3 linked regions of the Rattus norvegicus genome follow. Each later gene encodes a partner of the first gene's protein in a complex. Links are inferred from orthologs where the notes say so. Each region holds a gene or a part of one and is shown on either strand. Other genes may lie near its edges. The genes, in order: Plxna2, Nrp1 and Sema6a.

The links.
Region 2: the proteins of Plxna2 (region 1) and Nrp1 are in contact, whole or in part, in a crystal structure (PDB 4GZA), measured with the Mus musculus proteins. The link is inferred for Rattus norvegicus from reciprocal best matches to the Homo sapiens genes PLXNA2 and NRP1. Residues at the interface, in NP_032908.2 of Mus musculus: Asp273, Leu274, Phe275, Glu306, Lys341, Gly342, Gln343, Lys344, Gln345, His348, Pro350; in NP_032763.2 of Mus musculus: Glu78, Arg80, Asp81, Lys83, Tyr84, Asp126, Tyr127, Glu128, Thr129.
Region 3: the proteins of Plxna2 (region 1) and Sema6a are in contact, whole or in part, in a crystal structure (PDB 3AL8), measured with the Mus musculus proteins. The link is inferred for Rattus norvegicus from reciprocal best matches to the Homo sapiens genes PLXNA2 and SEMA6A. Residues at the interface, in NP_032908.2 of Mus musculus: Ala93, Cys94, Tyr95, Pro96, Lys155, Gln192, Asp193, Tyr194, Asp220, Phe221, Val222, Pro229, Ser230, Asp231, Leu386, Lys389, Val391, Thr394, Lys395, Ala396, Pro397, Val398, Leu407, Asp408, Ile409, Asn410, Gln411; in NP_061214.2 of Mus musculus: Arg108, Met109, Lys110, Gly111, Met162, Ala163, Thr188, Phe190, Leu191, Ile193, Tyr198, Thr206, Arg208, His212, Asp213, Ser214, Glu219, Gln266, Arg267, Glu270, Lys271, Lys393.

The regions. Positions count from the first base shown.
Region 1 is NC_086031.1:108,715,490-108,719,141, reverse strand, and holds part of Plxna2 (plexin-A2), read right to left. Parts: coding exon 2,860-3,652; intron 1-2,859. UniProt on the Homo sapiens protein: Coreceptor for SEMA3A and SEMA6A. Necessary for signaling by SEMA6A and class 3 semaphorins and subsequent remodeling of the cytoskeleton. Plays a role in axon guidance, invasive growth and cell migration.
Region 2 is NC_086037.1:73,374,916-73,378,567, reverse strand, and holds part of Nrp1 (neuropilin-1 precursor), read right to left. Parts: intron 3,065-3,652; coding exon 2,733-3,064; intron 1-2,732. UniProt on the Homo sapiens protein: Cell-surface receptor involved in the development of the cardiovascular system, in angiogenesis, in the formation of certain neuronal circuits and in organogenesis outside the nervous system. Mediates the chemorepulsant activity of semaphorins.
Region 3 is NC_086036.1:42,240,109-42,243,667, reverse strand, and holds part of Sema6a (semaphorin-6A isoform 1 precursor), read left to right. Parts: intron 1-2,208; coding exon 2,209-3,410; 3' UTR 3,411-3,559. UniProt on the Homo sapiens protein: Cell surface receptor for PLXNA2 that plays an important role in cell-cell signaling. Required for normal granule cell migration in the developing cerebellum.

The sequences.
Region 1 (3,652 bases):
CTGGTAAGAATGATGGTTCTCAACACAGGCATCAGCACTCATAGGAGAGAACACGAAGAATTAGAGTAAGAATGGCTATGAACTCTGATGGCAGAGATTCCACACTGCAACTTGGAAGGGGAGAAACCATGGTATGCTAATACCAGCTCATGAGAGATGTCTATGTGTGCATCTACAGTCATTGTTATCACTCCTGTTTGAAGTCATCCTCCCTGGCAGTGTTTATACCACGGGAACTGCCAAGTGCTATAGACCAGAGCTCTCCCTCTTCCCCTGTTATATGGAGTCAGATGCTTATTATTTTCCAGCATGCTACTGGGCAGTGCCAAGCAGGCAGCTACTAGCCACTGCCCTCTACCCTGGCTGTCTCTTTCTCACCCTTGTTCTGTGAGCAGTGGCTGTTCAATAAGAGTTTGGTAATCTAAATTTTAGCACTGTCCTTAACCATATTGGCAGCATATCTTAATTATTGCATGCCCTCCTGGGTCTTAGGGTTTTTTTGTTTGTTTGTTTGTCTTATCTATAAAATAAGAATTAAGTCAGGTCTTTGTCAAAATTCTTTATAGTTTGCTTCCATGGTTTCAGTGTTTTTCACTACTTTTCCAGATCTCTCTGGGAGATCTATAGAGTTGTAACCTAAGCCAGTTTTTGAGTCACAATGGCAGAAGTGAAAAGCTCTTGCTGTCAACTGTGGGTTTCTCTGCATTTTCCCTGATGTTAGAGTCTCCAGAATTGTAAAGAAAACGGTCTGTTCTGAGCATGAGCCCTTGGTTGGATGGCAATTTCTTCCTCACTATCTTGTCAGGTATTCCTAATGCCTGATGCCCCTTTCTATTTGTGTCAACAGTGAGTGACTGAAGTACCACTCTTATCAGAGACAGTGACCCCCCACAGTCAGCATCAGGAGTCTGTGGGATGCCCTTTATCAGACCCTGATTTCTAGTTCAGTCATATGGATCTGAGAAGTTTATTTACCTACTGAGCCTTTGATTTTCTATCTACAAAAGGTATAATAATTAGTGATTTATTTGTGATAATCTGGTGAGGTAATCAACTGCTCAAAACAGCCCTTCACAGGTAACTGATACCCTTGGGGTGATGGGTCCCATCCTCGTGCTTTTTTGTGGAAGCAATACACAAACCTTAGACCCGAGAAGTACATGTTAGTCCCCAAACTATGTTAAAGTCAAGTTTGGGGCCATGACTTCTCATTGATTTTTAAATTTCTCAAAGGTCACTAAAGCATTTCTAGTTCCTACCTCTGGGGTCCTTTTACTATAGGCATCCAGGGAGACCAACATCTTGCACATCTTACTACTTTGGTGCTTGAAATGGTATTGTCCCAGGGGATGACAGGAGAAAAAGTTGTTTCTTATAAGGCAGAGTGGTTCTCAACATGTGGGTCATAACCCCTTTGGGGTCACAAATCAGATACCCTGCATGTCAGATACTTACAAGTTAGAACAGTAGCAAGATTACAGTTATGAAGGAGCAACAAAATAATTTTATGGTTGGGGGTCACTATGAAATGAGGATTGTATTAAAGGGTTACAGCATTAGGAAGGTTGAGAGCTGCTATAAAGCATTCATCCTTCTAGTCATTACCCAGTATTTCTGACGTCCCATGAGGACTAGCCAGGACTTGCCCCTCTCCACCACCACTGGAGCAGAGCACAGTGTCCTCTTCCTTTTAACTTTGGCAGAAAAGCAAGCAGGAATCAGCAGTTTCCTCTTGACAAGGCCTGCTCTGGGCCATGGGAACCAGGGTGGATGCTGCAAGGAGTTAACCCTTACATTTCCTCTCTACTTCTTTGCTTGAAGAGGGTCCTTGTTTACACAACTATAGTGCTATAAAGCAAGCTGGAGATACCTAAATTCGGACTCCCCCGTTTTATGAAAGTAAGATAAAACAGGCAAATAACTAGTCTTTCATTAATATGATTAGCATTGGTAATCCCAGCTGCTCTCTTATTGAATGATTAATGTGTGCCAAGCATTTTAACTATTATTGATATCATGATCCTCATAATAAAAAAGTAACATTATTTCTATTTTAATGATGAAAAACTCAAAGCTCAAATAAAGCACATGACTTGCTCAAGGACATACAGGATACAGGTGGAAGAACTGATTTTAATCTAATTGATTAGATGTCACAGCTTAAATTCTTACCATGTATGCTGTGGTACCCTCTCTCATATGCTTGAACCAAGTTGTGGGAATTCCTTGATGTTTATCTATCTGATGCTTAAGCACTTGCTGCCTCTCTCTGAAATTCCTTTCCCTCTTTTAGCCATTGCTCCAAGTACTACTCTCTCAATGGCAGACATTATCTACTGCTGATCCCTACTTTGCTTTATTTTCCTCTAAAGTCAATTTAGCATTTTTTTCAGGCAGTATCATTTTATTTGTCTGAGAGAGTCTCATGTAGTCAGGCTAGCCTTGAACTCACGATGTAGCAAAGGGATGACCTCGGACACCTAATCCTCCTGCCTTTATTTCTTCCAAGTGTTGAGATTACAAGTGTGTACCACCACATCCAACTAGGCTGTTTTATGTGTTGACTTGTCTTGCCTCACTAGTAGGAAAGCTCTCTGAGAACACGTAGCTTAGACATGTAGCCTAGTAGGTACCAAATGCAGTGCCTGGTACACTGTAAGCATACAGGGCACGCATTAGTCTTGATTTAATGAATCAGCAAACTTATCCCAAGAATCTGATGTAGGGAAGACTCTGTAATTGGTAGTCACCACCTGGTTGCCTGAAACCCTTTCTTACCTATCCCAGGCTCTTACAAACCCGTAAGCTGAAGGTTCAGAGGAACAGACATTGAGAACAAAGCACAGGGAAGTTCCTTACCGCCTTGGTGCACTGTACATCCTTTCCCAGCAGCCAGTTGAGCTCCAAGTTGCCCTCTCCATGGTAGCAAGACTGCAACCGCTCCTTGATTTGCAAGTTGATGGCCCGGATGGGGAAGGCACATAGGGCAGAGTCATCAGGGGGATGGTGGTACTGCTTCTGCCCCTTGGAGAAGATGGCAAACAGCACATCTTCTTCACTGCTGATGTTGAAGGCCTGAGCTAGAGCTTCCCCTGGCTTTGCGAGGTAAGCTGCCTGCAGAAGGCGGTATTCCACCCCAGCTCGTGTGCAGCCAAAGGGCAGGGACACATAGGAATGGAACTTGGGGTCATCCTTGCAGAGACGCACGATTCTCGAGGTATAGAAGAGGTCTCCAGCTGAATTGATGGCCATGCCCTCTGGGGTCTCTGGCTGGACAGTGAGAAAGTAGACAAACCCTCCACTGGCAAAGCCATAGATGTAGAAAATGTCAAAGTGGGAGACCAGGGCTAGGGTGTCAGAGGGGATCTTGATGAGGGAAGAGACAAAATCACTGTGGAGCTCATAGTCCAGCATTGCCGAAGACTCGGGGTCACGGGGCAGCTTGCGGCTGGACAGGGTAGGGAAGTAATCCTGCTTGCCATCCACAGCAGTGCCGATAAAAAGCTTGCCATCTTCCCCCTCAGAGCGCACAATCACACCATACATGGTTCCTGTCTTATTGACACTGGACAAGTAGTGCTCCTTCTTGTGGGATGGCTCCACCAGGATGAAGAGGTCATCTAGCCGCAGGAGCTTGCAAACACCCTGGTAG
Region 2 (3,652 bases), on another chromosome or scaffold:
ACCCTACATCGGCAGCAGCAGGGAACATAGCTTTGCTGCCTATCCATGCTCTGAGATGACATCACAGCTGTTCCATTCCTTGAAGTCATTGTACAGAAAACTCTAGCTTCTAATGTGTTCCCCTAAGTCAAGAAAGGTTGGGTATAAAAAAGGACAAGTGGACTGGGGAGATAGCACAGTCAGTAAGGACTGAGTGTGATTCCTAGAAGCCAAGTAAAACTGCTGAGGATAGTATCATACACCTATAATCCTATCACTGGGGAGGCAGAGACAGGAGAACTCCTCAGTCTTGCTGGACTTAGCCTACATAATGGGTCCTAGACCTGAGAGAGACCCTGTCTCAAAATGTGAGGTGAATAGTATCTGAGGAATGATGGCTAAAGTGTCCTTTAGCTTCCACATGCTTGTGCATGGCATACCCAAGTACAGTCACACATACAAGCATGCATGCATACACAGAATCACAGTGGAAAGTAAAACGGACATAAGAAAGAAGTGAACTTATGAGCTGGGGCTATAGGTAAACCAATTGGTTGAGTTTCACCCAATATGCCCTGGAACCAGAGTTTCATTCTGTGGTACTGCATACATCAAGCAAAATGGGTATCCTGTCATCCCAGGAGGAGAAGCAGAAAGGTCAACATCAGCTACCTAGTTAGTTAGGACTCAGCCACAGTTGGAGCCTACATGAGGCCCCATCTCAGAAAAGAAAGAAAGTAGCCACATGCAATGCTGAAATGCTTTAGAAAACACAAGTTAATTCAGGGAGGGACACAGGCTTTCCCCAGCCAGAACACTGGTTTAGTCGGTGGTTAGGAGCTCCATTGCTGACCTGCAGCCTTTGGAAGATAGGGTATCACCCTCAAAGTCACATATCTAGAGGGAGGGAAGCTGGCAGCATGGCCGGGATTACTTCCTATCTGCAAGACCTTACTACACTGGTTGTAAAGTGAAAGAATGTCCCAGCCAATGAGCTGCAGTCTTCACCCATTGGGGAGCAGCTTTGGGTGGGTAGAATTAGAAAGTCCCAGAACAAAGGCCAAATGTGTTGGTGTGAGAAGTGTCACTGGGGTATGTGAAAACCTGGGGGCGGGTCCTCATTTTCATCCCAAATCCACTTAAGGCCACCCAAGCACATTCCTGGGACCCTTTCCAACTCGATGCGGTGTGCTCAGGAAGTACAAATAAACGAAGCCAACACTGAGTGAAACCTAGTGACCAAAGCATATCTTCTGGGTTTAAAACTTATACCACATTCTGTGAACGCTGGGATACAGTAATACTGAGATCGCCTTCTCTTTTCATTAGATTAGCAAGGAGTGACTGAGTCTTAAGAGGTTCCAAATTCATTAGAGTATTGCTAAGCATTATTTACAATAGCTAAAATTTGAAGAAAAAAAAAACCCTAGTATCCATTGGCAGTGAATGTATAATTAATTCGGCAGTGAATGTATACATTAATGTGGTTATTCACATGGCAGAACAGCATTCTTTTCTCAGAACGAATGAAATTGGGACCCACGATTCTTCACTCTTACACTATGCACAGAAACTGAAAGATTGGCTTAAAGGAGGCTCCAGGGTGGTTGGAGCCACAGGGCAGGAAGTGGAGTGGTGATGTACCAGGGACTCATGGGAGGGGAAGCTGAGAGGGATTACTGAATGTGCTCAGAGTCTCGGCTCCACCAGATGAACGATCTGGAGAAGAGTTGGACACAGATGTGAATTTATAAAGTCACTGTCTTGATGTATGCACGCAAAGGTTCAGATGGTAAATTCCATGCATGCTGTATCACAATTGAAGATGTATTTGTTTTGTTCTGTTTTGTTTTTTATCTTTTTGTTTGGAGACAAGGTCTCATTTTGTAACCCACCTGGGCCTAGAACTCACTATGTATCCAGGCTGATTGTTTTTGTCGTTTTTGTTTTAGCTCACAGAGATCCTCCATCTTCTGTCTCCTGACATACTTATCTCAACAAAGAAAAAATGTAAACCGTGTGGGGAGATGCAGTTCAGTGGGAGGGCAATTTTTTTTTTGTATCCACTTTCTTCAGTACCATGAACAAACAAACAAATGCTCTGGGGAGAATGTACTTGCTCTGCAGTGATGGGATCTGAGACTAGATCCTCCAGCACCCAAGTTAATGCCAGATTTGGCATGTTGAATCTGTAACCCTCATGCTAGAATGGTGGACACAGTAATCCCGGGAGCTTACTGAGAAGACAACATAGCCAAATCTGTGCTTCCCTGGGAAGCCTGACTTCTGCAAGGACATGAGAAGGGGCTTGGAAGATACATTAGCAGGTAAAGCATTTGCCATGGAAGCATGAGGACCTGGTTTGATCCCCAGAACCTATGCAAAAAGTTAATATAGTCGTGCACACTTGCAATCCTAGGCTTGGGAGGTAGAGATACAAGGATCAATGGGACTTACAGGCATAGATCTTGTTCCAGAAAACCAAGGTGGCTGGCTCCTGTGGGATCATATCCAAGGGTCACCTTTGGCCTCCACACTCATGTGTGTGGTGTTTTATGTTTGTGTGAGCAGATGTGTGTGCATGAACACACACACACACACACACACACACACACACACAAAACCAAACCACCATAAAAATACCAGGACAGGAGGATTTAACGTCTGCCCTGGGCTGGAGAAATGACTTCCTAGTGAGCCAGAGGGCAGGTAGTGTCTCCAGACAGTGGCTACTCCCTACCCCATGGCCTTACCTTAGCCTTGCGCTTGCTGTCATCCATGATCATTTTCCAGTCAGAACCATTGTTACTGTAGGCGATCTTGAACTTCCTCATGAACACTTTGTTTTCTCGGTGCTTCCCACCTTGAATGATGACACCTCTTACTATCTTCTCATCTCCCAGGTCCACTTGGAGCCATTCATTGATGTATGGGTGGGGTGAGGGTGGCAGGGCCCAGCCGGTTCGACTGGTCACCAGGCGGATGTTTTCTGGCATCCAGTTCCTGTCTCCTTGGTTGGATGCTGTAATCTGGGAGTCTGAAATAAGTCCAGACACCATGCCCAACATTCCAGAGCAAGGGTAATCTAGATGATGGGAGAAATAGATGGGCTGAGGTTATTTTCTCAGAGATGCCATGATTAGAAAGAAAACATAACCTTGTATCCATTTATATGATATCTCCAGTCTCTGTACCTTTACAATAGCAGAGTCTTCTCTTCTATAGGTCTCTACTGTCCTTAGACTCATATTCCCATTAAGAAAATCTTGATTCAGAGCATCACTGCCACCCCTCCCCGGATGCTTTTTAGTTCTCCCAAGTTTAATGTCAGTCTAAGGTTCCAGTCTCTTCTGTTCCTAGCAGTTGCTCCCACTTCAAGAAGTGTTGCCTACAAGGAATTTGTGGTTCACGACGGAACATGTGGCCAGAGATACTTAAGGAGATATACTCCCAAGCGAGAAATTGCTGAAGCAAAGTGAAGTTGGTAAGGAGGTGACAAAGGAAGAGCCTGGCTCAGCACGAAAAAAGAAAGAGGCGCAGAGAGCTCAGTGTCCACCTTATCTTACCTTCACCATCAACTGTCCTCAAGACCTATAGTTTTGTGTTTTTAGTTTAACGAAGCCTTGAACCTGATAAGTAGCTGAGGCTAAGGATGACTTTCAACTTCCGATTC
Region 3 (3,559 bases), on another chromosome or scaffold:
GACCTTCTAAATAGAGAGAACCATTTAAGCTCTCAAACGCCAAAGGTCACTGTAGGCAGCTTTCTCTAATAAGTAAACTTTTCTTGGTAAGATAGTCTCCACTAAATATGAGTACCCAAAGCCATACTGTGAAATGTCTGTTATGGTAAGAACTCCCACCCACTACCCTATACAGATGAGAGTCTTGCCATGGTTAGAAACGCAGAACTCACCAGGTTAATGAGAAAAATGAAACCATTGTAGTCACAGGTGTATGCATTGGTTCATTCAATTGTGTGTAGGGAGTTGGGAACGTGTGCAATAGAATTTCATACACAATCAGAACTGAAGGAAAATAAGTTGCTATTTTAATCCAACAAAAAGGAAATGTAATTTTTGGGAAGAAATTTTCATTAGCACATTTTCTTTCAGGCATAGGTATTAAAACATATTTGAATGCAAGCCACCCCACTGTCTAAGAGTACCACACATATAATGTGTGAGTTAGAACCATATTTCCCTGTTGGGTTTTTTGTTTTGCTTCTTCTCTTTGGTTTTTATCCCTTAAAAAGCTCATGAAGATATGTCTGGAAATCTTTGAAAAGTGTCACATGAGAAATTGCTCAATAGCTTACCGTTTCCACTGTGTTTCATGGGGGTTCCTCCCCCCCCCCCCAATTACCAAGGGTATTTGTTTAATCATAAAATCTTGCATTTAGAAGGTGTTTGCTTCTGTCTACTCCCACTGGAAGTCACAGTTCATTGTCACAGGAAGGTTGCCCCCACCTCCCCAACAGACACATGTGATGATGTCACACTATAAAAGGGTCCTTGAGAGAGAAGAGTGTGGTCTTCCAGCTAGGTCCTCTGGGTTTCGAAACTATCACTTTAATAATCAAAATATTTAGTCAGAAACGCCCCCATGACAGAGCTATGTTTCTTCTAGGTCTAGGTTGTGACATTTAAAATGTAACAGCAACAACCAATGAAAGTTTCAGGGTGGAATGGCAGAAGTTTAGGAGTGGACAGGGATTTGTCCTTATGTCATCTCATTCTAATTCGGTGCCCCTCGCAGTTGTCAGTAAAAGCACACTAAACATATTCCAGAAAGGGTTGACTTAGCAGGTGAAAAATGTGTCTCTGGAGACCAGACAAGGTACATTTTCTGTCTTGCCATCTTTCCAGAATAGGAACAATGTTTGCACTCCCTGGTGCGGTGCCTCTAATGTATTCGTGTTCCCTCCTCTCCACAGGCAGGGATGCAAGTATTTGAGACTTTGTTTTTTTTTAGCTACCAGCATCAAGCACTTTAGGATCTGAGGGTTGTGATGTCTGTTCTCGCTTGGTATTAAAAAATAAAAGCCCCAGCCTTTGCACTTGATTAGAGGAACTCAGCTTGGTGACTGATTAAGTAGCAGAGAAAAGGCAGCGTCTTTTTTTCCCTTCGGAATCGAGGCTTCTTGGTTAATGTAGTGGAAGGTAATAGACAGGGGTAGCCACGAAATTTTTATTAAATCGAAGAGATCAGCTCTGCTGAAGACTCTCATGGTGACAGCAAGCCCTAAGAGTAATAATGGGACCTGACACATTACAAGCCCATAGCAGGGGCCCTGATTTAAATAGTCTTTCAGGTCTGCAGGGTATTTACCTGAAATTGAGTGGGGGAGGTTCCTTTATTTTCATGCAAAGTAAATGTAAATATTGTAACCTGTGAGCTTCAGCTATTTTTCATTGTGGTGACATAAACCCCTCTATCCTCTTGTAGATTCAAAAACAAACATGCCTTTCTCCAGACAGAGGCCCTCTTGTCAGAAGGCAGTCATCAAGAAAAGACTGAGTGGAAAGCTTGGATTGTTGTGTGATTTGTTCGTTTAACACGCATAAAATTGTTGCTCCTTCCACCAGGCCCAAATTGCTCATTTATTCTAATTCTACAGGAAGTGGGAAAAGAGCAAAAGGAGAAGACAGATAAATACATTTTGACCCTGCCAGCCAGAAGAAAAGCCACAAAAGAAGGCAACAAATAAAATCGATTTACATACACATGCCAGGGCTGGCTGGGGTGGGGTGGGGGCAGGGAGGATTAATTAGTTAATGTTTGGCAAGCTGCGCCCAGAAGATGAGCTAAGCAGAGGTGCTATCGACACTTATTACGGTTATTAATTAACAGTGTGATTGCCTCCCAGGGTGTTTTATGTTTCTTAATGCCATGTGCGATGTCTATTACAGGAGTGATTCGGGAAAGTTACCTCAAAAGCAACGACCAGCTCGTTCCTGTCACCCTTTTGGCCATTGCAGTCATTCTGGCTTTTGTCATGGGGGCAGTCTTCTCCGGCATCATCGTGTATTGTGTGTGTGATCACCGGCGCAAAGACGTGGCGGTAGTGCAACGCAAGGAGAAAGAGCTCACCCACTCGCGTCGGGGATCTATGAGCAGTGTCACCAAGCTCAGTGGCCTCTTTGGGGACAGTCAGTCCAAGGACCCAAAGCCTGAGGCCATCCTCACACCACTCATGCACAATGGCAAACTGGCCACGCCTAGCAACACCGCCAAGATGCTCATCAAGGCTGACCAGCATCACTTAGACCTCACCGCCCTGCCCACCCCGGAGTCCACCCCAACACTGCAGCAGAAGCGGAAACCCAACCGGGGCAGTCGCGAGTGGGAGAGGAACCAGAACCTCATCAATGCCTGCACCAAGGACATGCCTCCCATGGGCTCCCCTGTGATTCCCACGGACCTGCCTCTCCGGGCCTCCCCAAGCCACATCCCCAGCGTGGTGGTCCTGCCCATCACACAGCAGGGCTACCAGCACGAATACGTAGATCAGCCCAAAATGAGCGAGGTGGTGGCTCAGATGGCACTGGAGGACCAGGCTGCCACCCTGGAGTATAAGACCATCAAAGAGCACCTGAGCAGCAAGAGTCCCAACCATGGGGTGAACCTTGTGGAGAACCTGGACAGCCTGCCCCCCAAAGTTCCACAGCGTGAGGCCTCTCTGGGTCCCACGGGAGCCTCACTGTCCCAGACCGGCCTGAGCAAGCGGCTGGAAATGCAACACTCCTCCTCCTACGGGCTTGAATATAAGAGGAGCTACCCCACGAACTCGCTCACAAGAAGCCATCAGGCCACCACTCTCAAAAGAAACAATACTAACTCCTCCAATTCCTCCCACCTCTCCAGGAACCAGAGCCTTGGCCGGGGAGACAACCCACCTCCCGCCCCGCAGAGGGTGGACTCTATCCAGGTGCACAGCCCCCAGCCCTCTGGCCAGGCCGTGACTGTTTCGAGGCAGCCCAGCCTCAATGCCTACAACTCACTGACGAGGTCGGGGCTGAAGCGCACCCCCTCGCTAAAGCCAGATGTACCCCCCAAACCTTCCTTTGCCCCCCTTTCCACATCCATGAAGCCCAATGATGCGTGTACATAATCCCAGGGGTTGGGGCCCAGGAGTTGAAGCATCAGATGAGGCGAGGCACCCACGCAGCTGAGCAAGGTCTCCACTGCCTCGGTATCCACCAAGATGGCCCTGGAGGAGCTGAGGACGCTGGGTCCTCCTCCTTGGGACACAGGGATACT